Pelodiscus sinensis: one gene and its partners. The protein of the gene in region 4 purifies or fractionates together with the protein of the main gene of each other region. This does not show direct contact. Links are inferred from orthologs where the notes say so. Each region holds a gene or a part of one and is shown on either strand. Other genes may lie near its edges. The genes, in order: BYSL, FAM110B, VPS13B and CSNK1D.

Evidence for each region.
Region 1: the proteins of CSNK1D (region 4) and BYSL purify together in Homo sapiens (affinity purification with mass spectrometry; 3 studies listed by BioGRID and IntAct, with this or other methods). This does not show direct contact. The link is inferred for Pelodiscus sinensis from reciprocal best matches to the Homo sapiens genes CSNK1D and BYSL.
Region 2: the proteins of CSNK1D (region 4) and FAM110B purify together in Homo sapiens (affinity purification with mass spectrometry; 3 studies listed by BioGRID and IntAct, counting the BioPlex papers as one, with this or other methods). This does not show direct contact. The link is inferred for Pelodiscus sinensis from reciprocal best matches to the Homo sapiens genes CSNK1D and FAM110B.
Region 3: the proteins of CSNK1D (region 4) and VPS13B purify together in Homo sapiens (affinity purification with mass spectrometry; 3 studies listed by BioGRID and IntAct, counting the BioPlex papers as one, with this or other methods). This does not show direct contact. The link is inferred for Pelodiscus sinensis from reciprocal best matches to the Homo sapiens genes CSNK1D and VPS13B.

What each region holds. Positions count from the first base shown.
Region 1 is NC_134737.1:9,514,435-9,521,878, reverse strand, and holds the start of BYSL (bystin), read left to right. Parts: upstream 1-4,428; 5' UTR 4,429-4,503; coding exon 4,504-4,783; intron 4,784-6,229; coding exon 6,230-6,392; intron 6,393-7,444. Other genes in the region: MED20 (mediator of RNA polymerase II transcription subunit 20), read right to left, coding at 83-237, 3,395-3,408. UniProt on the Homo sapiens protein: Required for processing of 20S pre-rRNA precursor and biogenesis of 40S ribosomal subunits. May be required for trophinin-dependent regulation of cell adhesion during implantation of human embryos.
Region 2 is NC_134712.1:63,426,496-63,434,055, reverse strand, and holds the start of FAM110B (protein FAM110B), read left to right. Parts: upstream 1-4,548; 5' UTR 4,549-5,140; intron 5,141-5,177; exon of another isoform or gene 5,178-5,335; intron 5,336-7,560. UniProt on the Homo sapiens protein: May be involved in tumor progression.
Region 3 is NC_134712.1:37,054,401-37,061,688, reverse strand, and holds the start of VPS13B (intermembrane lipid transfer protein VPS13B), read left to right. Parts: upstream 1-4,278; 5' UTR 4,279-4,432; intron 4,433-7,288. UniProt on the Homo sapiens protein: Mediates the transfer of lipids between membranes at organelle contact sites. Binds phosphatidylinositol 3-phosphate. Functions as a tethering factor in the slow endocytic recycling pathway, to assist traffic between early and recycling endosomes.
Region 4 is NC_134730.1:30,529,706-30,537,322, forward strand, and holds the start of CSNK1D (casein kinase I), read right to left. Parts: upstream 3,021-7,617; 5' UTR 2,855-3,020; coding exon 2,779-2,854; intron 1-2,778. UniProt on the Homo sapiens protein: Essential serine/threonine-protein kinase that regulates diverse cellular growth and survival processes including Wnt signaling, DNA repair and circadian rhythms. It can phosphorylate a large number of proteins.

The DNA of each region.
Region 1 (7,444 bases), on a different chromosome or scaffold from region 4:
CAACCCCGATGATCAGTTCTAGCAAACTCCACAGGGTCGAATGCCTCTGTGATTGCACCATGAAATACAATGCAATGCAGACCTTGGTTGCCAATGGTGGAGGCAGCGGTGTGGTAGGTCTCACAGTCCACACAAAATGTTCCTTGTTTCTCCGCTCCCAGTAGCTCCAATTTCCTTGTTAGGATTTCAACTGTCTGCTGGACGCTCTTTCCCTCCGTCACGGGCATCTGAGACACACTATCATAGAAGAGAAGGAAGCAACAGAAAAGATTCCGTATTCACATATGGAGAATAGGGATGGAACAGTTTAACTAGTTAAATGTTTACCTGATACATGTGAGTTTAATGGCTGCACTGCGAGCTCCTGGCCCCACTTCCAAGGAGCCGGCTGCTGCCCTGCATAGCAGCCTCTGACACAGATACAGCAACACAGGGTGGCAACCAGCTCCCTGAAGCAGGGTGGTAGGTGGGAGCAGGTATGGGCTGGAAGCCAGCTGCACTGCAGTCTCTGCAGCAAGGGGGGCCAACCCGCGGCTTGCGAGCCACATGCGACTCTTCAAAGGAAAAATTGCAGCTCTCGCACCCGCGGCTGTTCTGCATTCCCGTGCTCTGACCTTTTTCCTTGTCTGGTCAGGGTGCCGCTTGGGACAGCGAGAGCTGACGCTGCGGCCAACAGAAGCCTGTCTGGGCCACGTGCAGCTCTTAAAGGGGCAGCGTTGGGGTTTTTTGGGGGGGTTTTGGTTCAACAACTTTCCGGCCGACGGCTGTTAAAGGGGCAGCGGTTCCCCCCCCCCCCAACAACTTCTTTCCCTTGGCTCTTTGCACTGTATCCACCACTATTTTGGTTCTTTGTCTGTAACGGGTTGACCACCCCTGCTCTGCAGTATAAACTTAGTACTGCAGAGCCCACAGTGTGTAACGGGTAAAAAATGTTAACGGCTACACAGTTACCTAGTTAACTACCTTTTAATATCCCTAATAGAAAGACATGGTAACCAAGTCAGAATCCAATTCAGCAGTCAATGTACTTATAAAGTCTATAATAGAGATCAGAAGCCAACATATGAGTTGCTGGATCTGTAGGGTACTTGCATACTTGACTCATGCACTTCAAGGCCAAGAGAGACCATTGTGATAGTCCAGTCTGACCTCCTACCTAACATAGCACAGAGTATGATAGAGTAATTCTTCCATCAAACCCATATACTTCTATTTGAGCTATAGCATTGCTTTTAGAAAGACTGCTGATCATTAAAGAGACCGTTCAGAAGCAGGATTTGAACCCATGCCTGCAAAGGAAGCTAGAACACCCAGAAAAGGATAAAACAGCTTTGCATATGGCTTCTAGGCCGCTCAAACATCCCATGGTTAACAGACATTTAAGAGACCCCCTAAGGCAGACACAGCAAGTATTGGCACCACACACAGTACCACAGCAAAGGGTGCCAAATACCAGGACAGACGGGACACTGTAAAGGTAAATTTTCCTTGTCACCCTATAAACGTATAAACTGAGCATCACACAAAAGAATCTGTTTTACACAAGATTTTTGCCGTTACAGTGATAGACCCAGATAACCAAGAGCACATTTGATCCCATATTATCCATGGAGCAATTCTGTTTCCCGCTTAAGTAGTATAAATCCTTGGTCTCCTGTTTTTAAATACATACCCTCCGTGCCCCTGATACCGACTGCAATACCAGTTATCCCTTTAGTTTATTTTACGAGCTGCAGTATTGACATAGCGTGTCGGTAACATGCCCTAGCTAGATCCCTGTCAGAACATAACCCACCTCCCTCTTTGCATTCCCTGAGCAGCGGTGTCTCTCTTCAGACAACACCCAGTCAACCTGTGGAACTCCCTGCCAGAGGATGTTGTCAAGGGGAAGTCTATAACATGTTCTAAAGAACTAGCTAAGTTCATAGAGGATAAGTCCATCAATAGCTATTAGTGAGGACGGACAGGGATGCAAAATCATGCTCCATTTGTCAGAAGCTGGGAACGGGCAACAGGGGAGGGATTATCTGATGATTCCCTGTTCTGCCTATTCCCTCTGGGCACCTGGCATTGGCCACTGTTGGAAGACAGGACACTGGGCTTGATGGATCACTGTTCTGATCTTCCTCACACGCCTGAGCAAGAACCCGGCCTCAGCCACGTTCTTCTCTGCTGGGTGCCTTCTCCCATTATTTCCACCTGGCCACATGTGACGATGAGGGATGTCAATGCGTAGTCAACTACACGATTAACCAATAAGCCTGGACTTATGGGTTAATCTTGTTGACTACATGCAGCGCAGAGGATGAGGGGGGTAGGTTGGAGTCCATACGCACAGGGAGCAGGCTTTCAAGCAGCTTCCCCATGAGTGCTGGCTCTGGGGACCTACCTGACCCCCTTTGCTGCCTCCTACAGAGGCAGAGAGGAGGGGCCAGCCAGAAGCAGGTTCCCCCCAACATCAGCTCTGTGGAGCTGCCTCCCCCTGGCGCTGCTGCCTCTATCAGCGGCAGTAATGCGGGGGTGGGAGAGGCAGGGGAGGTTGCTGTGAAGTTGGCTCCGTCCATGGCACCCTGGGCTTGCCGTGGACAGAGGCTGGTCTGCATCAGCAGCTCCTGTCCTTTTTTGGGGGGGAGGGTCCAAGCTCCCCGTGGACAGGGCCTGCTGTCGCAGACCAGACTCTGTCTGCAGGGAACTCAGACCTCCCCCCCCACCCTACACGGACAGGGGCTACTGCCATCCCACGCTGCTACCTACGTCTTAGAGGCAGCAGCATGGGGCTGCAGCTAGCCGGTCTGCGCAGGGAGCTGTTTTTTAACTGGCTTCCCTTGTGAACTTGTTCCCGCCTGCCATCCCCTGGTGCTGCCTCTGATACAGAGGCAGCAGCCTGAGGTAGTAGGGGGTTCCCCAGGTGTGGGGCTGGGAGAGCACTGGCTGCCGCTGCCACCCCCGCCCCCAGGGGCGATCGAATAATCGTGTAACTTCTAAGATTTCATGTGCTTACACAACTATTGAATTACACAATATTTAGCATCCCTAGTGAGGCAGGATAGTGGTGCTGGCTCCAACAGTAAGACAAGCCCCAGCCACTGCAACACAGGCTCGAGAAGCCGCAAGAATCAATGCAGCCTGAAAACGCATCTGTCAGCTCCTCCTGCCACAGAGCAGCTCCTAAGGACTTAACCTCTTAGGGCTCAGCGCAATGAGCTCACCCTGCTGCAAATCCTCAGCCCTCCCTCTCCCGCAATTCGGTGCAATGCTAGATCAAAGCTGCCGAAGCAGAGCTGCTCCTTGCAGACCCCCCCGTCTGCAAACCCCACGCCGTGGCATTAATGGCAAGCCAATCAGGACCCAACCACATGTATCCTTTTTAACCACGCGACATAGAACGTCTCACCAGGTAACTCCCATGCTTCTTGAAATCTTCACGTCGGGCTGGACCGGTCCCTATGCAAGACGGCGAGGGCGAGCTGATACTATCTCGGTTTAAAAATATACTTGCAGCAGTGACTTGGCTAGGGGTGTATCTCTCCGTGGAGGAAGCACACTCGCTAGCTCCAACCCCTCTGCGGTGTCAAGCACCCAGCAGGAAATGATATCAGCAAGAGGGGAGGATTCCAGTCTCTGGCCAGTCCCCCTGCCTCTCGGTAGGTGGGAATTACAAAGCTAGTTCCTCCTAGAGGCAGATTAGTCCCCAAGGACTGCGAGCAGCAGATGGCACTAAATATAAACGGGGGGAGGAAGGGGCTGGAGTAAAATCAGGTTTTAGGAGCCCAGGGGCATGTTAACCACTGATGCAAAAGATTTTAACGAGCCCCAATGGAACTCTGGTGTGGGCTGATCCTATTCTAGGACCCTAAGAATTATGTAGCCAAGTAACCAATATCCCCTGCCCCGCCACCAAGTTGTTCCAGGCTAATGTATCTCAGTGGAGTTAATAGCATCCTAGACACTAAAACTAGAAGGGACCCTGAGAAGTCATCCAGTCCAGTCCCCTGCCCTCATGGCAAGCCCAAGCACTATCCATAACAGATGTTTCTGCAATCTGCTCTTAAAAATCTCCAGTGATGGAGATTCTACAACCCCCCTAGAGAATTTATTCCAGTGTTTCACCATCCTGACAGTTAGGAAGCTTTTCCTAATGTCCAACCTAAACCTCCCTTGCTGCAATTTATGCCCATTAATAGGTGGCTCCAGTCCGTGTGTCAATAAATCCCCCTTCTCTCTGCTGCTTCTGAAAATGGAACTCGCTGTCGCACGAAGGACTCCCTCGAATTGAAAGCTCTGCCTTGGGAGAGGTTCCTAGAAGGCGCCCTAAAATAGCACGCCTGCGCCTTTAAGAGCCGAGACTGGAGACAAGCGTTCATTACGCTGTTGCCAATTTTGGAACGGAAGGACTCCCAACGTTCCAAGAGCGCATGCGCCCTCCCTCTTCCGAAGACGCGCACTGTCGGGCCGCACACGTGCACTTCCCGCAGGTTGCGGGGAGAGCGCTGGGGGATCACTATGCCTAAGGTCAAGCGGCGGAGGGGCGCAGGGGAGGCGGCCAGGAACCTGCCCCTGGCCGAGCAGATTATACAAGGGGACTCGGTGAGGCCCACCACGCGGGTGAAGAGGCGAGGCAGGGGCGGGCAGCATGGCGGTGGGGAGCAGGAGGAGCAGTACGTGGATGAGAAGCTGTCCCGGAGGATCCTGGAGCAGGCTCGGATCCAGCAGGAGGAGCTGGAGGCGGAGCACTGTCCAGGCAAGGGAACCGAAGCGAAGAAGGAGAAGACCACGGTGCTGGGTGAGTGGGGGAGCCGCGCTGATTCTCTTACCGTTGTTTGTGGCGGAGAATTGAAGCGCAGGGCGATCTCTAAGAACAGCGGATTAAAACAAAAGTCCCGGTGTCGTGGGAGGAGGCATTGTGCTGCCCTGGCGGCTGCCTTTGGGATGAGACAGCAAAAGGGACAGGTGTGCTAACCTTGTAGCTTGGTCTGAGTTTTTTCATGGGAAGGCATCCTGCCTCCGTAAATCCCCCCCTTGTATCCATTGTATGTATCCTTAAACTGCCCCCATCACTACAGTATCTGACATCTCTATCATGAAGGGATCTTATCCTTACAGTGATAACCCACACACCGATTGGGCGTGTCTCACTGTCCCATGGAGTGGCACTGAGCCCCTTATGGAGAAGAAGAGTACGTTTCCTCTACAGCCTCAGCTGAGAGCCAGCTGGTTTATAACTGAAGCTGTAGAGGCTCACACACTAAATTCCAAAGGTTCCAGGTTTGGTTCTGTTACACCAGCACCTCGGAGATACTAGAGACAAATAGAGTCTACAGTTGCACAGAGAGATCTAGGGACTTACCCAAAGTCACACAAGAAATCTGACTTAGGAACTGAACCCAGGTTTTTTGAGTTTTAGTGCCATAGTCTATTCAGTGAACCATCCTTTCACCTGGATAATACGTTCTTCATTTCCTGTCCCAAATAATATTTTTATTGTACATATGACAGTACATTGCATTAGTCAGTTTATTTGTCACTTAGGACCAGCTTTTTAATGGTATTGGAGTTGGTCACCGAAATACGTTTTACAGCATGGCCCCTAGTCTGTGATCTTGCAAAACTGAGCAGTTGTATTAAAGCTGATGAGTCTGTGTCTGAGTATAAAGTTCAGTGTGTATAACACACACATCATAATCATTATACCCTCTAATCTTTTCCATCCATGTGCAAAATACATTTTTATGGGCATCGAGGTATATGTGAATGTGCACCACACAACCTAGCTGTGGATGCTCTGCTAATCAGCTGAGTGGCATTTGAATCCCACCTGAGCAGCTGCAAAAGCGCACAGGCTACAGGGAATGCTGGTTATAATCCCCTAAAAAACAGGCGGCGGGGCGGGGATGCACGTATATAGGACCTGAAACCGTTTTTAATTCTTTAATTAATAAAGCTTGAAATATGCACCGTAATATTTAATTGCACATCTGTGCTCCAACATTATTGGCTGGCCACAGCAGTTGTTTAAGCAATTGGCAGAGGAGAAGCACGTTTTGGGCCTGGATGGAAATTCTGATTGCCCCTTCAGATGGACTGCCCCTGGGTATCCCTGGTCTGCCTTCCTATAGTGGGTGGTTGTCTACATTAGAAAGGAGCTGCTGTAAATTCATCTCACTGGCCACCCAGCTACTGGCTCTGCACCCTTATTTGTCCAACCTTAACAGGATGTGGTTTATTTCAGGGTCCGGATTGCGCGATGGGGATTCTGACGCAGAGGATGATGAGTGGCCCGCGCTGGAGAAGGCTGCATCCATGGGAAAGGGAGAGTACTGTGAGGAGGTGACGGTGGACCCTGAGGATGAGAGAGCTATTGAGATGTTCATGAACAGGAATCCTCCGCTAAGGTAGGAAGCAACCCCGATCGCGAGAAATTAAAAGGCTGCCCCCCTGATTAGCAGAGGGCCTATAGCCAGCCTGCGTTTTCTATTGGTGGTGCACATCCGCACATGGCACGGTGCACGCAATAAAACTTATTCTGCACATAGATGGAAACAATTGGAACATTGCCCCTGAGCCAAGGGATGTAAGTGTTTCTGTACTGGGCCCAACTGCGCTGCACTCGGATAGCATTGAAGTTTAAAACAGCGCTTTGAAGAGGTTACGTGAATTCTAGAGGGTGGGTTTGGTTGAAGGTCCATCACTCTTCCACAGCTGGGGAAACTGAGGCATAGGGGAGGATTGTTTTTTGCCCAACCTCTTAAGGCAAGTCAGAGGCGGAATTAGGAATAAAACTCAGGATTCCTGACTCTCCTGTGCCCAAACGGTAGATAATGCTGCATGTCCTCTCCATGGCATATGCATGGGGCCAACCATAGTAACTCCAATTGCTGGAGAGCAGCAGTGGGCAGCCTATGACCCATGAAATATTTTGTTACCATTGCCCATACGCGGGGTTGCCAGATCCCACTAGTTTCTGTTGGCGTCAGGTTTTTTTCCCCTGCCGGTATTGCAAACGTGACACACTCATAAAACAAGAGCACGTGAGGCGAGGTGTGTGCTGGTTGCACACAGCATTGGCTGCGAGAGCTGTGTGCTCGCTCTGCAACCAATCAAAACCCTGCTACAGTTCATTCGGCATGCCCTGCGAATTCCAGGTACACAAGCGCAGTGAGCAAAATGACCCTATCCCGGGAGGCTATATTGGTTACGACACTCTTGCGGCCCACTGAGATGGAGGGCCACTCCTGCGGCCTGCTCAGTAGCTTAGGTTGCCTGTTGCTGCTGCAGTGCCTAGAGGCCCTGCTGAGATCAGGTGCTTGGTGCTGTACCTGTATTCCAAAGACAGACATACCCGTCATAGACAAGACAGATAAAGGATGGGAGTGGAAATAGAGGCACCAAAGGGGGAGAGATTTTCCCAAGGTCACCCGGCAGGGCAGTAGCAGAGTGGGCTGTG
Region 2 (7,560 bases), on a different chromosome or scaffold from region 4:
AAAGCCAGGTGCTTATTAGAAACTTTTGCCAACATAGCAATATTGGTGGCAGTCTGATTATTTATTTAAGTACTCTGGCAAAAGCCCTAGCTACAGTTATACTGACACAAAAGTACTTTTGCCAGGTATAGCTTATTTTGCTTGCCAAACCAGGATAAACAGTTTTTTTTACCAGTATTAGCTTTTTCTATACTAGAAAGGTTTGCCAGGATAGTTATAGCAGCAAACTTTTTCTATAGCCTTGTAGACTTGACCTAAAGTTAAGCATATGCCTGTTTACAGGATTGAGGGTCTTCTGTTACATAATGTGTTTTCAAATAGACTTATTTATAAATCAGTAATTATAAATCAATAAATAATATGTCAAGGTTAAATATAAATTGCTAGAGTTTTGTTTTGGGGATTTTTTACAAGTACTTATACAATAATTTGCTCTCAGACTGAAGCCCTGCATGCCAGGTTTCAGCTCTGAGGTAAATTTCATGGCCTAAACAAAACTCCCTGAATATAAGGTACTTAAATTTGAAAGGAAATAAATGAGACTCTAAAGCTATTGAATCAAAAGTGGCTACACTAAAATGACTAAGGTGAGATATTAAATGTACTATTCCACTCTTCCTAGAAGAACAAAGTGGCAGTTTAATGAAGCTATCCGTCATGTGAAGTTTAGGAGTAAATTTGTCAGTGAATAGTATAAGAAACAATTTGATGGACAGCTCTGTTTCATTATCAAGGACAGGACAGAAAACATACAGTATATATATAACAACATTTAGAAAGTTTTTGGCATATTTGTGTAGCATTGAAGAGCTCTGTAGGCCTCTTCATAGAGGCTTTGTGCAGGGTTTTTGCGCAAGAAGCTTTTTGCGGAAGAGATCCTCTGCAAAAACTTCTTGTGCAAAAGCATGTCCACATCTCAAAAGTGCATCGCAAAAGGAGTTATTCCTCGCAGAAAGAGGTATACCTATACCACAATGACGTTCTACTGTAAATTTTCTTGTGCAAAAACGCGCTTGAGTTGTGGACGCTTCTTGGGTTTTTGCGCAAAAACGGCCATTTTTGTGCAAAAACTTTGTAGTCTAGACATAGCCAGAGTGTTTGGAAATGCTTACTTTCAAGGTCAGATTAAGGAGATTCAGAGCTCTTGGCATGCCATGAGATGGGCTCCCTTGTGTCTTCTCCCCTACAGCTGTGCTCCCTGAGCCTTGGCCCTGTCTCCAACAGAAGGGGGAAGGCAGAGGAACCCCCCAATCTTTTCCAGAAAGGTAGTGGCAGCAACACTTCTTTCCCTCAGAAGCAACATCACAGCGTTCCTCCCAAAGTCTGGACAGGCAGAAATTCATCAGTCAGTGTACATCTGATTGGGTGGATGAGCGAGGTACACCATATTTCCCCTTCCCCCGTATGCCCTCTGCCTGCCACAAAGTTCTCTATAAGGATGTTGTTGACAGGGATCCCCTGAGCAGTAGGTCTTGGAGTTACTATCCTACCAAGGTATAAATAAGATGCAGTTTTCTTATTGTTTCAGGCTCTCTGCTGAGTCAGCCAAACTTCTTGCATTTATTACACTAGTTTCACATTTTTATGCTTTTATTCCCAATGATGAGGACTAGAAACCTTCTTTTTTAATTGAACGTTTAAGTTCTGGTGTAATCAAATGGCTGCAGGATCTGGGTCTCTGGCCATGATTGTATAGCTCCTATGTCTTAATTCAGGGGGTGGGCACTAATTTTTGCAGGGGGCCACTTAATTAATTTTGCTACATGGTCATGGGCCAGCTCCACCCCCACCACCCTCAGATGGGGTGGGACTTGGGGCAGAAGGGGCAGGGCTGGGGACTAACCTCCTTCCACCGCTATCTGGTATTGGAGAATTTAAACAAAGAAAAGGGACTGCAGCTCCTGGCCTCGGAGCTCCCATCCCTGTAGCTACCATGTTGCCTGGCAGCTGCCTAGAGTTGCTGCAGATGTTTAAAGGGCTCGTGGCTCTGGCCCCTGTCAGGGTAGCACCACAACTAGAAGCTGGGAGCCATTTAAATAGGATCCTGCTGCCTGAGACACCAGCCTGGAAATTCGGTGGCATGGACAGCAGGATATAAATAGAAAGCAGACAGATGTAGTCTGCGGGCAAGATCAAAGTGCTTGGCGGACCAGATCTGGCCCCTGGGCCGCATCTTGCCCGGTGCTGTCTTAATTTGACCCTGCTTACTTTTCAGTATGACAATATTCATTTCTTAACACATAAACCCTAAGTAATAGGGAGTTTTGCTGCTCGGTAATGGAATATATACAAATAACCTGTGAACAGGTTGTTGATATGCAGTGCAAGAACTCCTCCTAAATGTTAAGAGCTAGGATCAACACATTTGGTATGCAGCTTTCTCTTATAACTTAAAGCAAGGGAAGGGTTTAGTTGTCCCAGGACAAAGGGATGTGTCTGGAATATGACTGTTTCTCATAAAATGGAAAGGGAGGTTATACTGTAGAATGACCACAGGCGATCAAGTGCACTGGTAAGAGAGTGCATGGCTAAGGGCAGGGTTGTGGATACTGCCAGGCACTATACTCAGGTAGGGTTCCTGTGCTGGTGAGTTGATAGCCGGGCAGCGTGGCCTCCCGCTGCCCTGGGATCCACTAGCCAGGCACCACACCCCCTTGCTCTAGCCAGCCAAAGGAAGCCTTCACTTAGCCAGTACAGCCCTGGCCAGCCCTGAGGAGTTGCTGGCCAGGCAGTGCATTCCCCACCATCCTAGTCCTGCCCTGAGCCCCCCACCCACCCAATGTCCTGCCCTCCACATTTTTACTCAAAGCCTTCTCACTCCCTCCTGATTACTACACCTCTGCCTCCTGCCCCGAGGCCCCCCACACCTCCCAACCCCCTGCCCTGACTCCTTCAACTCCCCCTTCTTTGAGCCCCTCCACCTCCTGCTCTGAGCACCTCCTCAACCCCTAACCTTGACTCCTGCACCCCCACACTCTCAGCCCTGAGCCCCTCCTTAAGGACCTGAGCAACACTAGGTTAATGTGCTAATAATCAAATATATTAGCTGTAATAGTAGCTGCTACTCCTACACTGGTTTTTGGGGGGTCACTGAATCTGCATTTAGGGCTGCTGTTTACACTCTCTCAGCCCTCTTCCATTGTGTCATTGTGTTCAGGGCTGCCTCCTCCCCTATGTAATGTAGGAGGGTGCAGAGACCACTGTACACAGCCATTCTGGTTGTGCTCTTCTCATGCAGATGTCTGTAGGAGAAGGCCTACGCAATATATACCTAATTAAACTTCACTTCTAATGAATGGGATCTATTGTGATTGCAAAAGGAGTGAGAACCTGCATCAAGGGACAGTAAGTCAAACTCAGCCAGAGAACTGGGTGAAGGGCTCAGATTAGAAATGTAGAAAAATAGGAGTATGCATAGGGGAAGAATGATTAAGTATTGTGAAAAGGAGAAAAGGTGTGTAAGAACAATCATATGGACACCTGGATGTGTAAATGAACAGGAAATGAGGGTAAATGAGTTAGTAAATATGTGACTAGTAAAGGTATCAGTACATGTGTGTGGCACAGACCAGAAAAACAAGTCTAAACAAGCTTCAAAGTTTATGTGTAAGAATTGCATTTGCTATAGCATCTGACGAAGTGGGTCTTTGCCCACGAAAGCTTATGCTCCAACACTTCAGTTAGTCTATAAGGTGCCACAGGACTCCTCTCCGCTTTTGCAGATTCAGACTAACACGGCTACTTCTCTGATGCTATAGCTTTTGTACATTCCAAAGATGATTGCTGTGAGTGCAAAATAAATATTCATTACCATCTGCGCTACTAAGATTGACAATTATGTAACAAACAGCTTAGTGTAAATTAGGAGTTACTACTGGTCAGTTCCTCAGAGGACATAAATAGGCATTGAAGTCAATGTGGTTGATTTACAGCAGCGGAGGTTGTAGCCCATTGTGTCATATGCATCTCTCAATACTCAACATAACCAGTTGACTCCATTCCAATGAAGCTCCTTTAGATTTTTCACTGGTGCAGTCTGACTAAAACATACCCCATAGCCCAATCAACAATGATCAAAATTAACTGCTTTGGTACATGAATTTCTCATTTCTTGTACCAAGGGAAAGTGAGCGTTGCTTTTACCGCCACACATGTTTTCAAAATTCCCCCTATGCTGCCTGAAACATCCCATCTTGGCTCAGTGGTATTTCACTAAAACCCATCTATTTCATAGTGAAGTAACTTCTGGGGCCCACTTTCCAGGATCTGTTGGATGAAATTCTGGCTCCTTCTCCCCTTCCCCCTTTGAAGGATTTTCTGGATAAAACGCTGCCCCATTGACGCCAATAACAAAACTCTTTTACAATGGGGCAAGATTATTACCCATTATTTTTTATCACCATTACTCCTTTAGAGACCGCGCTATTAAAATGTGGGCAGCAGGGGTCACGTCATCGTGGGCTAGCACTGGCATGGGGCTGCTAATCAGCTGCCACTCTAGTTTCACAAGAGCGTGTGCGGGCGCGCACAGAGACAGTGTGTGCCGGTGGAAAAGCCCGGCGCCAGCCCTGAACCCTGGCCCCGACCTCGGCTGCCCGCCGCGGAGCTAAGACCCCTTGCCCGCCGCGTCTGTGCTGCAGAGCCCGGCTTGGTTGCGCTTGGCTCGACTGAGGCTCCCCCCCCAGCTGCTGCAGCCCAGAGCCTGGCTAGCTCAGCCCATTGTGTGTGTAGCAGCCCTCCCGCCCCCGTCCCTCCCCATTTCAGCGTGGACGAAACCATTGCAGCCCGGGCCGCGCCGCCAGACCTGCGGGGCCGTCTCCCGAGCGGCCGCTTCCTCTCGGCAAAGCAAAAGCAAGGCCAGGAGGCGGGCGCAGCCGCGTGGGAGCAGGGGGCGCGGGGCGCTGCAGGGCCCGTAGCTCCCCTCCGCGCGTGGGGGCGGTGGGAAGAGCCCGGCTGCCCTGCCTCCCCTCGCCGCCAGCAGCGCCCGGGAGAGTTTCATTCAGCGCCGGGAGGAAGCGCTGCCTGCCCGCCGCGCGGCTCGCTGCTCCCCTCCGCCTCCTCCCCTCGGCGGCGGCAGCTTACCGCGGGAGGCCGGGAGCGGCAGCTACAGGCAAAGCCGCGGCGGTGCCCTGCAGGGAAGGTAAGGGCGCCGCGCGGGGAGGCTGGGCTGCGGGCGGGCTAGTCGGGAGCCGGGGGAGGCAGCGCTCGGCGCCGCTCCGCTGCACGCGCTCATTGTTGTGCAAAGTAGCTGCAGCTCCCGCTGCCTTCTCCCCGGGCAAGAGCTCTGCGCGGAGGCTGAGCTGTCGGCACATAGCCCCGGAGCTAGTTTCTGGAGGTATCGTCCATTTCACACCCCCCTCACCCACCCCCAGCATAATTCTGCAAGAACATCTGTGCGCCTCTGGATGGTTCTCCCCCCCCCCCAGTCCCCCCCCCCCCCCTTCTCCCAGTCTCCAGCTTTTCCTCTTGCGAGGTAAGATCTGGTTCGGGTCTGGGGTTCTGACAGCAGGAGGTGGAAGTTTCCCCAGCAACTCGGGAAGCGGAAAGCTGTTTTTTTAAAGGGGGGGGGGGGGAGGATTGGGTGGTTTTGTGCGTGTGCAGAGGAAGTTTACAGCCCTTGTAGAAAAGTTATGATGGAGAGATTGGGCAGAAGGTTTTGGGATGGATTTTCCTTGCAGGGTTAGATGTGTGCTGCTGGAGGGACTTGATCACTGATACTAAACTTAACGGGCGCAAATACACTCAGCAGGAACCTGGTGCGTAGCTGGGAGGCTGTCGCTGGACGTGTCTCTCTGAAAGTTTCCATTCATCTGATTAATGCCACTTTGGGCCCTTTTAGGAATGTTTCAATATACTCACGTTCCTCGGTGTTTGTAAGCAGCAGTGGTGGCTTCGGAGTAGGGGAGGGAGAAAAACAACCTTTCCACTCGTCTATCTCAGTAGTGCATAGTTTTCAGGATAAGATGCAGCAATGTGGTGGGAAACCCCTGCTGTGTTTGTAAGCCCAACTGCCTCTGCATATTGACAAATTATGGTGCAATGTTTTATTCTTCTTAACTTAAAACCAGGTGGTTGTAGCTCCAGTATCAGGTCAAGCCTCACAACTTTTTTGAAAAACACCCCCCCCCCCAACAACCTTGTTTTTTCACCATAACACTGCTCAGAAATAAAATGGTTCAGTTATTCCTAAATTCTTCATTAATATCAAGGGAAAACACATGGCCTAGGAGACAGAAATTCAGAGAGTAGCTGTTTAACTCTTCAGATGTTTTTTTCTGACTCAGAAAGAAGTGCATACTTCCTCCTCCAATTCCCTTTCTCTCTGATGCAGGGCAAAGCACAAGGCTTCTTCCTCTAGGTCAAGCTTATGCCCTGTTCAGAATCTGGTACACATCTGTCACAACATTACATGAAATTAGGTCTGGCTTTTTAAGGACTACTGACTAGTTTTTGTTTCAAGGGAGGAAGCTTAAGGTGAGGGAAGAGAGAAGACTTACCAAAAATAAATGTACTGGGATATTTTTCTATATTCCCTTTCCTGCTATTATTGTGATATAGATAGAGACTCTTAGAAAATACTTGCTCAGAGCAATTGCTCAGAGTTCAGTGAAGTCTGTTTTTTTTTTACATTACTGATGGAAAGGTAGTGATTTGGCATATGACCTAATAATGTGTGATCACTAGCAGGGAGGAGATATTTCATTCCTTCACAGACTATTTAAAAAACCTAGTCTAAGAAAATAGAATGTTCAATAATAAAATGTTACAGAATCTGAAAAAAGTATGTGCATTTAAACTTGTAACTTAATGTGAAAATTCATTTAATTTGCATGTTGATCCCTATTATATCAGTGTTTAAGATAACCTAAGTGTGATCAATTTTTTATCTCAGACACACTGACACTGATTGGCTTCATTATATGTAATTATCCCTTGTATTTAAAATGACAACATTAGTTTTCTTGCCTAAAAGGCTTAACATGATATCTGGAAATATAGGTTTTTCTATAATGTAGCTATTGATTTTAAAAATTGGTGTTGCATTCCTAACTCTTCCATAAATTTCTTGGGTGACCTTGGGAAAGTAATTAAACCTTTAAGCCTCAAATCTCCACTTCTGTAAAATGTTTGTGTCTTTACCTTTTCTAATATATTGATGCTTAATGAACATTTGTAGACTATGGTTCATAGGGATGTTGATATAAAAGTGTAAATTTTAATTTGTTACAGCAATGTTACATCACTTTTTATCCTACACACAAAATCTGTTGCATGTAGTTAATAGAAGATGTTGCACTTACACAGCTTAGTGTGTGTGGGTAGACTTAGAGTAAGTGCCTCACTTTTAAATGTTCTGAAAAGATCAATTTAATCCATTCCTACAGGCTTGCATTACATTGAAATGAGGAAGGCAATTCCTGTAAGAATGAATTGCTCTAAATTAGGCCTGTCAAACAATTAAAAAAATGAACTGTGATTAACCAGAGTTAAAAAATGAGATTAATTGCAGTATTAACCAATAATAGGATACAAATTAAAATGTATTGTACATATTTTTTA
Region 3 (7,288 bases), on a different chromosome or scaffold from region 4:
TCCTCTAATGACACCTGAATCTGGGACAGTTCCTCAGATTTGTCAACTAAAAAGAATGGCTCAGATTTGAGCATTTCCCTCACATCCTCAGCCTTGAAGATTGATTCAAAGAATTCATAGTATCAGAGGGGTAGCCGTGTTAGTCTGAATCTGCAAAAGCGACGAGGAGTCCTGTGGCACCTTATAGACTAACTGAAGTGTAGGAGCATAAGCTTTCGTGGGCAAAGACCCACTCATGCATCTGACGAAGTGGGTCTTTGCCCACGAAAGCTTATGCTCCTACACTTCAGTTAGTCTATAAGGTGCCCCAGGACTCCTCGTCGCTTTTAAAGAATTCATAGTTTCTCCACAATGATTTTATCATCCTTGCTTGCTCTTTTAGCATCTCAATTGTCCAGTGGCCCCACTGGTTGTTAAGCATGCTTCCTGCTTCTGATGTAAAAATAAATATAGAAATATGAAGCATATATCTCTTTACTGAACTAGATCTGCTCAGTGTCATTAGTGGTGCTTATGGAACTTAATAGCCCAGTATTTGAACCAATGAGCTGTGAATAGTCTTGCTTGTCCTGTGAGCCTGGACTATGGTTGGACCTACAAAGACATGTAACCAGGCTGGAAACCATTTTGGACACTGTACTTTTACACTCAAGGTGAAAAAGTCTGAACTGAACACAAAATATTCCTGCCTTGGGCAGCATATATATATAAAAGCATGGAACTAAACAACAGGGACAGGTGCTAGATGCGAGGAGACTCCTGGTTACCACTAAGATGACTGCTAGGAACATCCGGGGTTGCCAAGTTAGTCTGTTATAGAAAAAAACCAACAAATGGTCTGGTAGCACTTAATAGACTAACAAAACATGTAGATAGTGACATCATCTACATGTTTTCCTAGTCTATAAAGTGCTACTAGACCAGTTGTTGGGTTTTTTTTTTTTTTTTTTTTGCTAGAAACTAGTAAGACTGCACATGGGGAAAGATCTGTAATGTGGGAGGCTGCCTAGCTTGTGAGAAGAGGTCATTAGAACTACTGTTAGGTTAAGAAATTGCATAACAAGTTTAAGAGTATTAAGCTTAGGTGCCATGTTTTATTTTGTGTATAAGTTGCTTTGATCCGTCTGTTATTACTTACAACCACCTAAATTCTACCTGTTATACTTAATAACATCACTGTTACTATTAAACCCTGTGTAGATGTAAGGAGGGTGGGAGAGCAGTTGTGCATATCTCTTTCACTGATAAAGGGGGTTCACTCTGTTATACAAACACTATGCACAGTGAGATGGATTTTCTGGGGTTTTGGTCCCATAAGGGCTATGCACCTGAGTGTTGTATTGAGCTCCTTTGACTTGAGTCTTCCCCAAGATGAGTGAATATCAGTGTCTGTGTGCTCTGCTGTGGACTGTGAGCCCAACTTTTGACTTCACCAAGGGAAACCAGAGGCTCTGGCTCACTTGGACAGGCAAGCTCAGTTGTAGGAACAGCACATCAGGTGACAGTCTCAGGAGGATACTGTGGCCAAACCCATTATAGAGTGTATTACACATCATACTTAAAACTGAGCATGGTTATTTCAGTTATCTGTATTTTATAAAGTTACTGTATTTTAAACAAATTACACAGTGGGTGGGGAAAAAAGAGACACCCACCCACCCTGCCCAGTCCTCCTCCCTCATTGTGAAGGTTAATAGAGAGCAACTCAATAAGGGAAAGCGACGAGGAGTCCTGTGGCACCTTATAGACTAACTGAAGTGTAGGAGCATAAGCTTTCGTGGGCAAAGACCCACTTCGTCAGATGCATGTAGTGGAAATTTCCAGAGGCAGGAATAAATATGCAGGCCAGGATCAGGCTGGAGATGACCAGGTGGATCCAATCAAGGAGGATGAGGCCCACTTCTAGCAGCTGATCTGGAGGTGTGAATTCCAAGAGAATAGAAGCTGCTTTTGTAGTTAGCGAGCCATTCATAGTCTTTGTTTAATCCAGAGTTGATTGTGTCAAACTTAAAGATGAACTGTAGCTCAGCAGTTTCTCTTTGAAGTCTGGTCCTGAAGTTTTTTTGCTGCAGGATGGCTACTTTTAGATCTGCAATTGTGTGTCCAGGAAGATTGAAGTGTTCCCCTACAGGTTTTTGTATGTTGCCATTCCTAATATCAGATTTGTGTCCATTGATTCTTTTACGTAGGGACTGTCCTGTTTGGCCGATGTATATAGCAGTGGGGCATTGTTGGCACATGATGGCATATATTACGTTGGTGGATGTGCAGGAGAATGTACCAGTGACAGTATGGCTGATCTGGTTAGGTCCTGTGATGGTGTTGCTGGTGTATATATGTGGGCAGAGTTGGCACCGAGGTTTGTTGCAAGGATTGGTTCCTGAGTTCGAGTTATTATGGTGCGGTGTGTAGTTGCTGGTGAGAATATGCTTCAGGTTGGCGGGTTGTCTGTGGGCAAGGACCGGCCTACCTCCCAAGGCCTGTGAGAGCGAGGGATCATTGTCCAGGATGGGCTGAAGATCACTAATGATGCGTTGGAGAGGTTTTAGCTGGGGACTATAGGTGATGGCCAGTGGTGTTCTGTTGGTTTCTTTCTTGGGCTTGTCCCGTAGCAGGAGGCTTCTGGGTACACGTCTGGCTCTGTCAATCTGTCTCCTCACTTCCTCGTGTGGGTATCGCAGTTTACAGAATGCTTGTTGAAGGTCTTGTAGGTGTAGGTCTCTGTCTGAGGGGTTGGAGCATATGCGGTTGTACCTCAGTGCTTGGCTGTAAACAATGGATCGTGTTTACAGCCAAGCACTGAGGTACAACCGCATATGCTCCAACCCCTCAGACAGAGACCTACACCTACAAGACCTTCAACAAGCATTCTGTAAACTGCGATACCCACACGAGGAAGTGAGGAGACAGATTGACAGAGCCAGACGTGTACCCAGAAGCCTCCTGCTACGGGACAAGCCCAAGAAAGAAACCAACAGAACACCACTGGCCATCACCTATAGTCCCCAGCTAAAACCTCTCCAACGCATCATTAGTGATCTTCAGCCCATCCTGGACAATGATCCCTCGCTCTCACAGGCCTTGGGAGGTAGGCCGGTCCTTGCCCACAGACAACCCGCCAACCTGAAGCATATTCTCACCAGCAACTACACACCGCACCATAATAACTCGAACTCAGGAACCAATCCTTGCAACAAACCTCGGTGCCAACTCTGCCCACATATATACACCAGCAACACCATCACAGGACCTAACCAGATCAGCCATACTGTCACTGGTACATTCTCCTGCACATCCACCAACGTAATATATGCCATCATGTGCCAACAATGCCCCACTGCTATATACATCGGCCAAACAGGACAGTCCCTACGTAAAAGAATCAATGGACACAAATCTGATATTAGGAATGGCAACATACAAAAACCTGTAGGGGAACACTTCAATCTTCCTGGACACACAATTGCAGATCTAAAAGTAGCCATCCTGCAGCAAAAAAACTTCAGGACCAGACTTCAAAGAGAAACTGCTGAGCTACAGTTCATCTTTAAGTTTGACACAATCAACTCTGGATTAAACAAAGACTATGAATGGCTCGCTAACTACAAAAGCAGCTTCTATTCTCTTGGAATTCACACCTCCAGATCAGCTGCTAGAAGTGGGCCTCATCCTCCTTGATTGGATCCACCTGGTCATCTCCAGCCTGATCCTGGCCTGCATATTTATTCCTGCCTCTGGAAATTTCCACTACATGCATCTGACGAAGTGGGTCTTTGCCCACGAAAGCTTATGCTCCTACACTTCAGTTAGTCTATAAGGTGCCACAGGACTCCTCGTCGCTTTTGCAGATTCAGACTAACACGGCTACCCCTCTGATACTTGACTCAATAAGGGAAGCTTTTCTGTTGGGTTAGAGAGAAACGTCGTCTCATACACCACACATGGGGAGACTGAGCAGTTCCAAACGCTGTCCTCTCACAGCACACCCACCCTCTCAGCTGCTGCTCAGGCGTTTCTAGCGCTCTCCTGTCCCGTTACAGGCAAAGCTCCTAAACATGAACAAGCGCTGCCCAAAACAGGGTTAAACGAGTCCCATCCCAGGCCATATTACTACCTTCTCTACGGGGGGAGGGGGTTTATCCTGGTACCAGTTACCCTCTCCCATCGCCACCCGACGCGGCTTTAATCCCGGCACCAGTTCCACCCTGCCCCAGCGATCCGATCCCCAGCCACGCAGCTACCGCATGGAAGCCAACCGAGCCCGCCTCCCGGTGTCACCGCCCGACCCTTCCGGCCGGGCAGCACAACCGCGCCTGCGCCTCCAACGCGCCGGAGCCGCGGGGAGCACGTGAGGGAGGACACCAACCGGAACTGCCCGGCCAAACGGTAACTGCCGCGGCTACTAGCCCGCACAGGGGGACGTTGTGCGCAGGTGAGTCCGGGGCTGGGCTCGGCGGGGAGAGGGCCCTGGGGGTCGTGCTGGGAAGGGGGGACCGTGCTGACGGGCGGTAGTAGTGAGAAGGGCTTGCTTGCTTGGTAGATAGGTAGCGGCGAGTGTGGGGCTGGGGCGTGGGGCGGGGGTAGCGTGTGACGGCTGGGGGTTTTACCCAGCACTATTTACCGTTACTCACGGGGGAGGGGGAGGTTGGGTCAGTCAGCTCTGGGGGGCGGACGGGATGAGGGGCAGATGCTGGGGCAGGGGATGGCGAGGGGCAAGTAGGAGTGTTGCGGGAGGCAGGACACAGTGGGGGGATGAAAGCGGGTGGGGTGGAGGGCGGGAGTGTGTATTTAGGAGTGGGGCTGGTGGGAGCTTTGGAGGCAGGTGGGGTGTGTGTGAGTGCTGTTAATTTACAGATAAGCATGGAACAATTAGGTTTTCATTGGCAAATGTTAACATCACAGTAGAAAAACCTACAAAAATTCTCTTCCAGAATAATAGAAATGTACAGATAAGCAAAGTAAGAAAAATGCTGCTCAGAACTTACTACAGTTTGATTTCAGGATGTTTACTTTGAATCTTTGACAAGAGCAGTTGACAGTTTGTGATTTAATTTTTATAAGCTTTAACTTTTTGAATCTGAATATCTACTTTCATTAAATGATTCTAAACCACTCTTGTGATTTTCTACAACTGAAAATTTAATTAGATAACAATTTCGAAAAATGTTTAAAAATAAACATCAGTATTATCCATCAGGATTATAAGAGAAATAAAAATCAAATTCTGCTATGTGTGTTTATAGGTTTGTGTAGTACCAAATGAGCGGATGTAATATTGTGTTATATGCTGGACAGTCATAAAAGTAAGATTGCATGTCTAACTATTTCAGAAGTTATGCTATGCCAAATGCAAATTATATGTAACTGGATTTGTTAAAAAAAACTACTTTGGTATGCCAGAAGTGGCAGGAAATTGAACTTGACTGTTGATAATAGGGTGGATTGATTTAAATCATGATTTAAATCAAGTATCCCACTGATACTACTTCACATTTCTTCAAACTGTCGTGCAAATCTGGTAACTAAGACATGTACAGCTCAGTACAGTATTTTAAAATATCTAAGAGGGCACACTTTGTATAATTTTTTTACATAACTTGATTTTTATTAATAGGAAATAGTACATAATACTCATTACTTGTGCCAACTTGCAGAAGTAGCAGCAGTACATTAGGAATGGTAAGAAGTAAATCATACACACAAACACAATAACACTTAAATTTTATTAAACTAAAACTTACATTTGAAATTGCAGCTGTCTCCTGAGTTGCTGACTGAGGTCTGTTTTTAAACTATTGTACAGGTTGGACCTTCCTGGTTTTGCACCTTTGGGACCTGACTGGTCCCGAATGAGGGAATTTGCTGAACAGTGGGAAATCCCCTGACATCAGCCTTTCAGCCTGCTGCCCTTCCCCACTGCTGGATCCTTTGGCCTGGCCAGCCCTAGCTCTGCTGCCTGCAAGGTGGCATAGGGTCTGGTTGTGCTGCTTCTGTTGGGCTGCCACGGCCTGGCTTTCCCTACTGGGCTGAGGTGGTGTGACGTAGTGGGGGTACTTGCTGGGCTGTGGTGACCTCCTCTGTCTGGAGCAAGACCCAGCAGGGAAAACCTTATTATGCAAAGGTGACTCCATACCGGTTGAACCAACCCCCCATGGGGAGAAACAAAGGGAGGTGGAATGCTGCTCTGGCTGGGGGCAGGGCTTGGAGTGGTGGAGTGAGTTCCTGGCTGGAAAGCAGGAGAGAAGGAACTGGGGAGGGGGCTGGATTCCCCTATCTCAAGGGGGGCACTGAGGCCTCTTAGCCCCCAGTTCCTGTAACCAGATTACATCTGTGCTATGTTGTATCCTGGAGGAGCAATAAACCACCCTCAATTCCACTGGCTGGTGGAGTCTGTTTGTGCCATCTCGGGATGCAGGAGACGGGGGACCCCCAACGCGCCGTCACAGGTGGCTGCAGCCCCGGCTCCTCTGCTGCGTGGCAGATAGCCCCAATCATGCTGCCACGGCCACCTGGGCAGCTGCGAGCCCGCTGCCACTGCCCAGTATAGTATGGCCCTGCTGCCATCTGGGCTCATGCAGCCCCAGACAGGCTTCCCCTCCTGGGCAGCCATGGTCCTGGCCTTGCTGCTGGGTGGCAGGCAGCCCGGATAGTGCTCCACCACCACCCGGGCTGCCCTGGCACTGCTGCTGCAGCTTCTCCTCTACCAGACCCACTGGCCTCCCAGCTGCTGGTCCTTTCACTCCAGGGTTCTCTCACGAAGAGAGTCCTGGTTAAGGGAGGTGCAATTTGTATATGTTACTACTTAGTCTGCTGAGAAACAAAAATTGAAAGCCCAGAACTTTCAAGGAGCAAGAGCTGATTGTTAGGCTGGACAGACTGAAGCATTAATTCATTTTTATGAGACTAAGTGTTTGTGATAAGATTTAATTGTAATTGTTGTTTTTAAATGAGAAATTTAGTGGTTTTTTAATTAAAAATCCAATTTTAAGTTTTTTTTAAAATTATTGATTTTTATCCACCCTGGTAGATAGCACCAGGGTGGATAAATTTTTGAACAATTTTTGGTTTTTTCAGTCTAAGCAAATATTCTAATCAGTCTGTGGTCATAAGCAAAAGGTGAGTTTATAAATTGGTGGGATTTATTTAGATCCAGACATTACTATTTTCCTGTAAAGTGTTATGTAAGGATATGGCCCCCCATTCTGTCATGCAGCTTTGTTTTTTACATATTGTACAAGCTTATTATTGGTTCTAATGCAAATAGGTTGGGACTTCATGAACACAAATA
Region 4 (7,617 bases):
AGCCAAGTATGCATTTCCCCCTTGTTCCCAGACCCTACACCCAAATCCCCTGCACTCACTCCCTTTCCCTCGCCAAGACTCCACATTCCCAGCTTGGTCTGACACCCTGCTCCATACATGAAACTGTTTGTTCTTAGGGGTTCCACGAAATTCTTTCGAGTTTAAAAAGGTTCCATGGCCAAATAAAATTGGGAAACACTGTACTAAGGAAATGCCAACTCAAATGCCTCTGCTGATCTTAGTTATGGCAGCACTGCATGGCACAGCCTCTTAACACAGGCAGCCCCTAAACCACCTAACTCAAAATCAACATCTTAAACTCCTTCAAGAAACCTACAGGTAGCCAGGACAGAATCTGGAGCACAGGTATTATACGTGCATAACAACATATACCACCTTCCTCACACAGTCTTCTAAATGAAGGCATTAACAGAGCCCAAGAATCCTGAGCTGTCTCTATATACACTGCAGACCATCAGCTAGAAACATTCAGACCTCATTATACATATGTTCTCTTCCAAGATAATCACTATTCAGTGCCTGTGAACAAACTATTTTAATTTAGAATTTGAGGAACAGCGGTCCATTGGAATAAGAAATACTGTACTGTAGAAAGTAAATTAATTTGCATACAGATGATATTATTGCAATAACATACACAAATTGGTGATATTCTTTTTAATCTAAGTGTACTAGGGAATGGTGCCCCCTGCTTCCTGCACTTGCCAACCCCCCTCTGGGGGGGGCAGCCCCAGTTCTCCCCTTGGCCACCAGGGAGGGCAGGCAGCAGCCTTGCCAGCCCAGGCCCCTTCTCCTTCCCTCCGTGCCCGTTAACCAGGGCCCTTTCTCTCTCCCCCACAGTCTAACCGTAACCCCCATGATTGGCTGAGTATCCTGTCAGGCCTGGCACAAATCCCAGCAGTTCTTCCCCTTCCCCCAGCACTGTGGAGGGTCCACGGCCACCTTGGCTCTTCCCCCTGCCCCTAGGGAGGGCCAAGCCCTGGGGAGACCCTGCCTGCCTTCCAGCAGGCATCTCCCATGTGTGCTGTGGGGGGTGGGCTTCCTCCCCCTCATTCACCAGGAGGGGCTGGGCCCAATTTTCCCTCTGGCTCCATCTCTCCCACATCCCCTCCACGCTGCTCCAGCCCTTGCTGCACCAAGCCATGTGTTCTCCCTGCCCTCCCGCCCCTCGTGCCTCTGGTACAGCCAGCCCCAGATCGGGAAGTGACAACTAGTCGACTATCTGATTAGCAAATGATTATCGGATAGTCGACTGCTCGCTTCCCCCCCTTGCTGCCTCTATCAGAAAGAGGCAACAGGGGGGGAGAGAGAGGAGGGAGTGCTTCAAAGCCGGGCTTCCTGCAGCACTGCTATTTTGAAACACCACATGCAGCCTGGGCCAGCTAGGGTGCCCCCAGGCTGCACGTGGCATTTCAAAGCAGCAGCGCCAGATGGAGCCCAGGATCAGCTGGGGACTCCCCCACTGTCCCCAGGCTCCATGCAGCACTGCCGCTTTGAAACACTGCATGGAGCCTGATGCTGAACTCCCCATGGCATTTCAAAGCAGCAGCGCTGCACAAAGCACAGGGTCAGCATGGGAAACCCCAGAAGACTCCAGGCTCCACGCAGCATAGCCGCTCTGAAACACCATGTGCAGTCTGATGCTGGGCTCCCCACAGCGTTTCAAAACGGCAGTGCCACCAGGAACCTGGAGCCAGCCCACCTGACCCTCAGCTCTATGCAGCGCTGCTGCTTTGAAATGCAGGGGGTAGCACAGGGCCAGTGGGAGACTGCTTGGTCCCCCGCTGGCCCCATGCTCCTTGCAGTGCTTTTGCCTTTGAAATGTAGCAAAGCAGACGTGCCCTATCGAATAATCGATACAAATTTAACATCTTTAGCCCCAGCTCAACTCAGGGGATGGACTGTCCCCCACTCCAGGCCCCCTCTTCCCCCAGAGCTCTGTAATTTTCCTCCCTGACTTCCCCCCCATGCCACCAGCAGCAGCTTACTTTTAGAGCCACTGCTGCTTGGGAGACATAGGTTGCAGATCCTTGCTGGATTAGCAGCAGCAGGGAGGACAGGAGGAGGCAGGGAAGCTGAGGGGGGAGGGACACCGAGTGACATGATTATGTCCCAGTAGAAAAATCTTTTAAAATATATAGAGATTTCTAGATTTCCCAGCAGTTGTAGCAGGATGGTATATGTTTTCTGGCTCATATTTCAAAGGCTACTCCAATTTTTAAAAGTAGACACCTATGATAACATGTTACCTATGGGGTTTTTTCAAATTCTGTATGTAGCATGTTAGCAGGGGTGTCTGCTTATCAACACTAGAACAGCCTTCCAAAGACAAAAATCCAGAGACCTGTTATTCCAAACCCATTAAAGACGTGTTTAAAAGGGTGCAGTTTCTCAAGTCTGTTTATGATTTCAATGAACAGAATGCAGAGGCTCAGCCCACTGTAACCGACACGGTGTAAGCACAAAGCAAGAGACTCCCTGCCCAGAGGAGGTCACACGTAGGCCGGGCGCAGTGAGCGACACGCACGAGGCAGGCGCACAGGGCCTCAGAGGCCGAGCAGGGCAGGAGGGACCCGCAGTGACAGCAGCCCCGACCGCTCCAGAGCGATGACGCGGCTGCTGCAGCCACGGGCCGGACTCGCGTCCAAGTCACCAGCCCCCCGCCGCGGTTACAGAGCGGGCAGGGCGAGGGCAGCCCGGCCACGCCCGCCCCGGGCCCCGGACCTGACACCCGCCCGCGGCCGGGCCCCGCCTCACCGAGGTAAATGTCCCCGAAGGAGCCGCTGCCGATCTTCCGGCCCAGCCGGTAGCGGTTCCCCACGCGCAGCTCCATGGCGGCCGCCGGCCTCCCGCTGCCGCTTAGAGCCCGGCGGCCCCGGCCACCATCGCGGCCGCCTCGCGGACGGGCGACTCTGGCTCGGATGGACGCGGATTCCCCCGAGCTCCGACTCCCCTCAGCGTCTCAGTGCCCGGGCCGCCATACTGTGTGACCTCACTTCCTTAGCAACGGGGGCGGGGCGCCCGGGGAGGAAGAGGGGGCGGGCCTTGGCCTGGATTCAGATCCTGCTCAGGGCTGGGGGGTTCTGTGCCAGGCCGGACCTGCGGGGCTCCCGCCTCCCCTCACACAGGGCACCTGCCGTCCCCCACAGGGCCGGGGGGGCCACAGGGTTCATCCCTGGCAAGCTCCCATTGCTATTCCCCTGAGTTTCCACAGGGCCCGGCAATCGCAGCTCTCCTGGGGCTCGGCTCACAGGTGCCGGACAATGGGAGTTGTGGGATGCCCTGGCCTCTCTGTGCCACTTCCCACTGCTCCCATTGCCCAGGAGTGGCAAGCCGTGCCCAACGAGGGTGGAGATTACCAGTACGCAGGGAAATATAGTGGCAGCAGCCCACCATGGACTAACTCTGGCGGGCCACTGGGTTTTTTTATTGTCTTCCCCTGACACAGAGGAACAAGGAGGGGACACAAAAGAGCACCCCATTGAGCAATCAGTGTTTTGGCAGAGGCACAGTTGCCTCTGTCCCCTTCTGCTCTTTGCACAATCCCTTATGAAAACACCAAGGCTACATCTACACTGGCATGATTTTCCGGAAATGCTTTTAACGGAAAAGTTTTCCATTAAAAGCATTTTCGGAAAAGAGCATCTAGATTGGCACAGACACTTTTCTGCAAAAAAGCCCCAATCACCATTTTCACAATTGGGGCTTTTTTGCGGAAAACAAATCTGAGCTGTCTACACTGGCCCTTTTGCGCAAAAGATTTGGGCAAAAGGACTTTTGCCTGAACGGGAGCAGCATAGTATTTTCGCAAGAAACACTGATTACTTACAGTAGGAAGTCAGTGCTTTTGCGGAAATTCAAGCGGCCAGTGTAGACAGCTGGCAAGTTTTTCCGGAAAAGCGGCTGATTTCCCAGAAAAACTGGCCAGTTTAGACACAGCCCAAGTTAACTATAAGCTTTAACAAAGTAATCCTATTGATCCTAGATGTGTTTGGAGGTGCATGCAGGTATTGATCTGTTCAATGGTAATCTGGACTTTTCATGGTCCCTGTCATACTGCCATCATCATAATCTGGGCTTCTGACTATAACACAGTCAAAGAGGGGCCAGTGTTCAGACCAAAGATGTTTCAGGTCATCTTAAATTTGTTACTCTGCCTTACGCTGGTATTTGTGATGAACTGATCATGCTTCACACATTTGCTGAGAATAACATTGGAGTTTACATCTCCTGCCTCTTGTGCCACTCCAGAGCTGGTAGTCCCATCTGACTCTGGCATTGTGGAATGTGTATGTTTAAGGCTTGTAATAGCTGATTGCGGGCCCATGGATGTAGTACACAAGGAGGCTGGGCTGGCTGATAGGGAGGAGACACACTATCAAGAGGGTTTTACAGTAACAGGCCTCTGTTGCCCCTGACTCAGCCCCCTATGCCTATTCAGCTTGTAGCCATGGTGTGCTCCCGCTCCCTGTGGTGCCTGCACCACTGCTTCACCTCCTGCCCCACACCAGCTCTGCTCCTTGACCCACACAGTGATCACAGGCAGGTGTGGTGCCTTACTAACTAGCTGGGGGAAGGGTTTGGGAACTGCACAGTTATCATTGGTTTGGGTGCAGTGCTTGCTGAAGGAAGAGTTTAGGTGATGCACACTGTGATGTGGGGGAGGGGGTCTGGTTCTTCACAGTTGCTGGTGGAAGAGTTTCAGGGATGCAAATACTGATAATTGGTGAGCAGTGCAGTGTTGCATAGCTAGCTGAGGGAAGGCATTGAGTGATGCATACGGTGATCAGAGATAGGTGTGGCCCCTAAGGTTGCCTGGTGTCCAGTATTGATCTGGACAGTCCGGTATTTTCACCTCCTGTACAGTAAAAAAATTCAGAAAATACCTAAAATGTCCTGTATTTTCTGATTTTTTCCCCCTGCCAGGAGGCGAAAATACCGAACACCTGGCAACCCTATGACACACTCAGAAACTGGGTGGATCCCCCCCCGCAAACCTCCACTTACCTGGTTCCACAGGGGCTTGTCTTATAGCTGAAGCAGAAAAACAAGGTGGCCGCTGGCAAAAAAAAGCCTCTTCTTAAAGGGGCCCTTCTGATTTTTTTTTTCTTAATAACTGCTGTCGGGGTCCTTTTTCTTTTCTCAACAACTTTGGTCTCCTTTTTTTTTCCTCAGCAGAATATTTTTCCTGGTGGGTTTTTTTGGGGAGTGGAGGAGGTGTTTGGTACTTTTGATTAAACCATCTGGCAACCCTAAGCCCCACACAAGTAGCGGGCTAGCTGGGAGAAGCACAGAATGATCATGGAGGAGTGTGCAGTACCACACTAGCTACCTAGGGGAAGGGTTTGTGTGAGGCAGACAATGAGAATGGGTGGGATGCAGCCCCACACAGCTGGGGACAGGGTTTGGGTGATGCACACACAGGCTGTGTCTACACTGGCGGCTGCTTGCTCAAGAACATCTTGCGCAAGGGTTCTTGTGCAAGAACTCTTGAGCAGGAACACATCCACACTGCCATGTGCGAGATGTGCTTTTGTGCAAGAGCATCCGTGGCAGTGTGGACGCTCTCTTGCGCAAGTAAGCTCTGATGGCCATTTTAGCCATAGGGCTTTCTTGCACAAGAAACCCCTGCTGCGAGTCCACACTGCCATCTTGTGCAAGATCTCTTGCGCAAGAGAGCTTACACCTATTAGAAAAGAGTGTAGCTCTTGCACACGAAGCCCTCTCTTACCACGCCATACTGTAAATCTTCTTGAGCAAGAGTAGGTGGGCAGTGTGGACATTCTGTGGAAGAACGGCTGTTCTTGCGCAATAACCTGCCAGTGCAGACATAGCCACAGTGATTACTGTGGTAGGTAAATCAACACACACCTACCTGGGGGAAGGATTTAGGAGGCACACACATTGATGGGCGGAGGGGTGCTATACTAGCTAGGAAGGGGAATGGTTTGGGTGATGCACAGAGTTATCATGGGTGGGTGTGGCACCACACATGCTAGCTAGGGAAAAGGCTTGGGTGACGCACTAAGGATGTCATAGTGTAAATGAGTAAATGGTTAATGGTTAGCCTGGGCTCTTAGGTTAACCTCCATGGTTCCATGCACCCTCTCCTCTCCTCCCTCCCCACCTCTGCATCAGAGGCAGCAGCACAGGCAGGGGCAGGCAGAAGCTGGTGGTTGTGGGGAGCCAGCTTTTAAGGCTGCTGCCTCTGTAAAAGCCAGCTCACCTCACACACCAACTCCAGCAGAGCCACCTCTCCCCGGTGTGTAAACGTGTACTTGCTGAACATTTCAGTGGGTACCAAAACAAATTTTAACATTCCTATGTTACACACCATTATAATGGGGCGGGTTGGGTGGGTTGCGGTACAGCTCACTGTGGGAGATGCACACACTAATCATGGGTGGGATGTGGGTCTGCACAGCTACGTGGGGGAAGGGTTTGACTGAGTAATGCAGTGCTTGTGGGAATTGGGTGTGGCAATGCACAGGTAGTTAGGGGAAGACTTTGGGGGGGGTCACATGATCATGGCTGGGTTGGTGGTGCACAGCTCGCTAGGAGAAGAGTTTGGGTGACACACAGTTATGGTGGGGGCATTGCTGGGGTATGGCCCAGCTAGCTGGGAGTAGAGTTTGGGTGACACACAGAGATCTTATGGCAGGGGTTGAGTGCAGTGTTGCACAACTAGCAAGGGAGAAGCAAGGGTGCCACACACTGAATATGGGGGCGTGCAAGCTGTAGAGCTAACTGGGGGAAGGGAGTGGGTGTGGAACTGTACTAGCTAGCTTGGAGAAGGGTTTGGGAAATATACATACTAATGACTGGAGAAGGTGTGATCCCATCCCGGTAGGTGGGGAAGGGACTGTGTGCTGCACAGAGTGATCACGGCTGCGTGCAGACCCTCCATACATTGGGTGATGTGCAGTGATCTCTGGGATGGGTGTGATGCAACCCAAGTAGGTGGGAAAAGAGGATTCACCAAAGGTAAGCCATGCCTGACCAACCTGATTTACTTTTACTTTTGACTCTGCATATGGGGAAAGTAGTGGACATACGATATATTTTGACTTTAGCAAAGATTTTGATACAATTTCCCACAGTATTCTTGCCAGCAACTTAAAGAAGTCTGGCCTGGATGAACAGACTAAAAGATGGATAAAAAGAAGGATAGATTGTCAGGCTCGGCGGGTAGTGATCAATGCCTCAATATCTAGTTGATAGCCAGTATCAAGTGGAATACCCAGGGGTTGGTCCTGGGACCAGTTTTGTTGAATATATTCATTTATGACTTGGATGAGAGGCTAGATTGCACTATAGAATCATAGAACTGGAAGAGACCTCAGAAGGTCATCAAGTCCAGCCCCCTGCTCTAGGCAGGACCAATTCCAACTAAATCAACCCGGCCAGAGCTTTGTCAAGCCGAGACTTAAACACCTATAGGGATGGAGACTCCACTACTTCCCTAGGTAACCCATTCCAGTGCTTCACCACCCTCCTAGTGAAATAGTTTTTCCTAATATCCAACCTGGACCTCTCCCACCACAACTTGAGACCATTGCTCCTTGTTCTGCCATCTGTCACCACTGAGAACAGCCT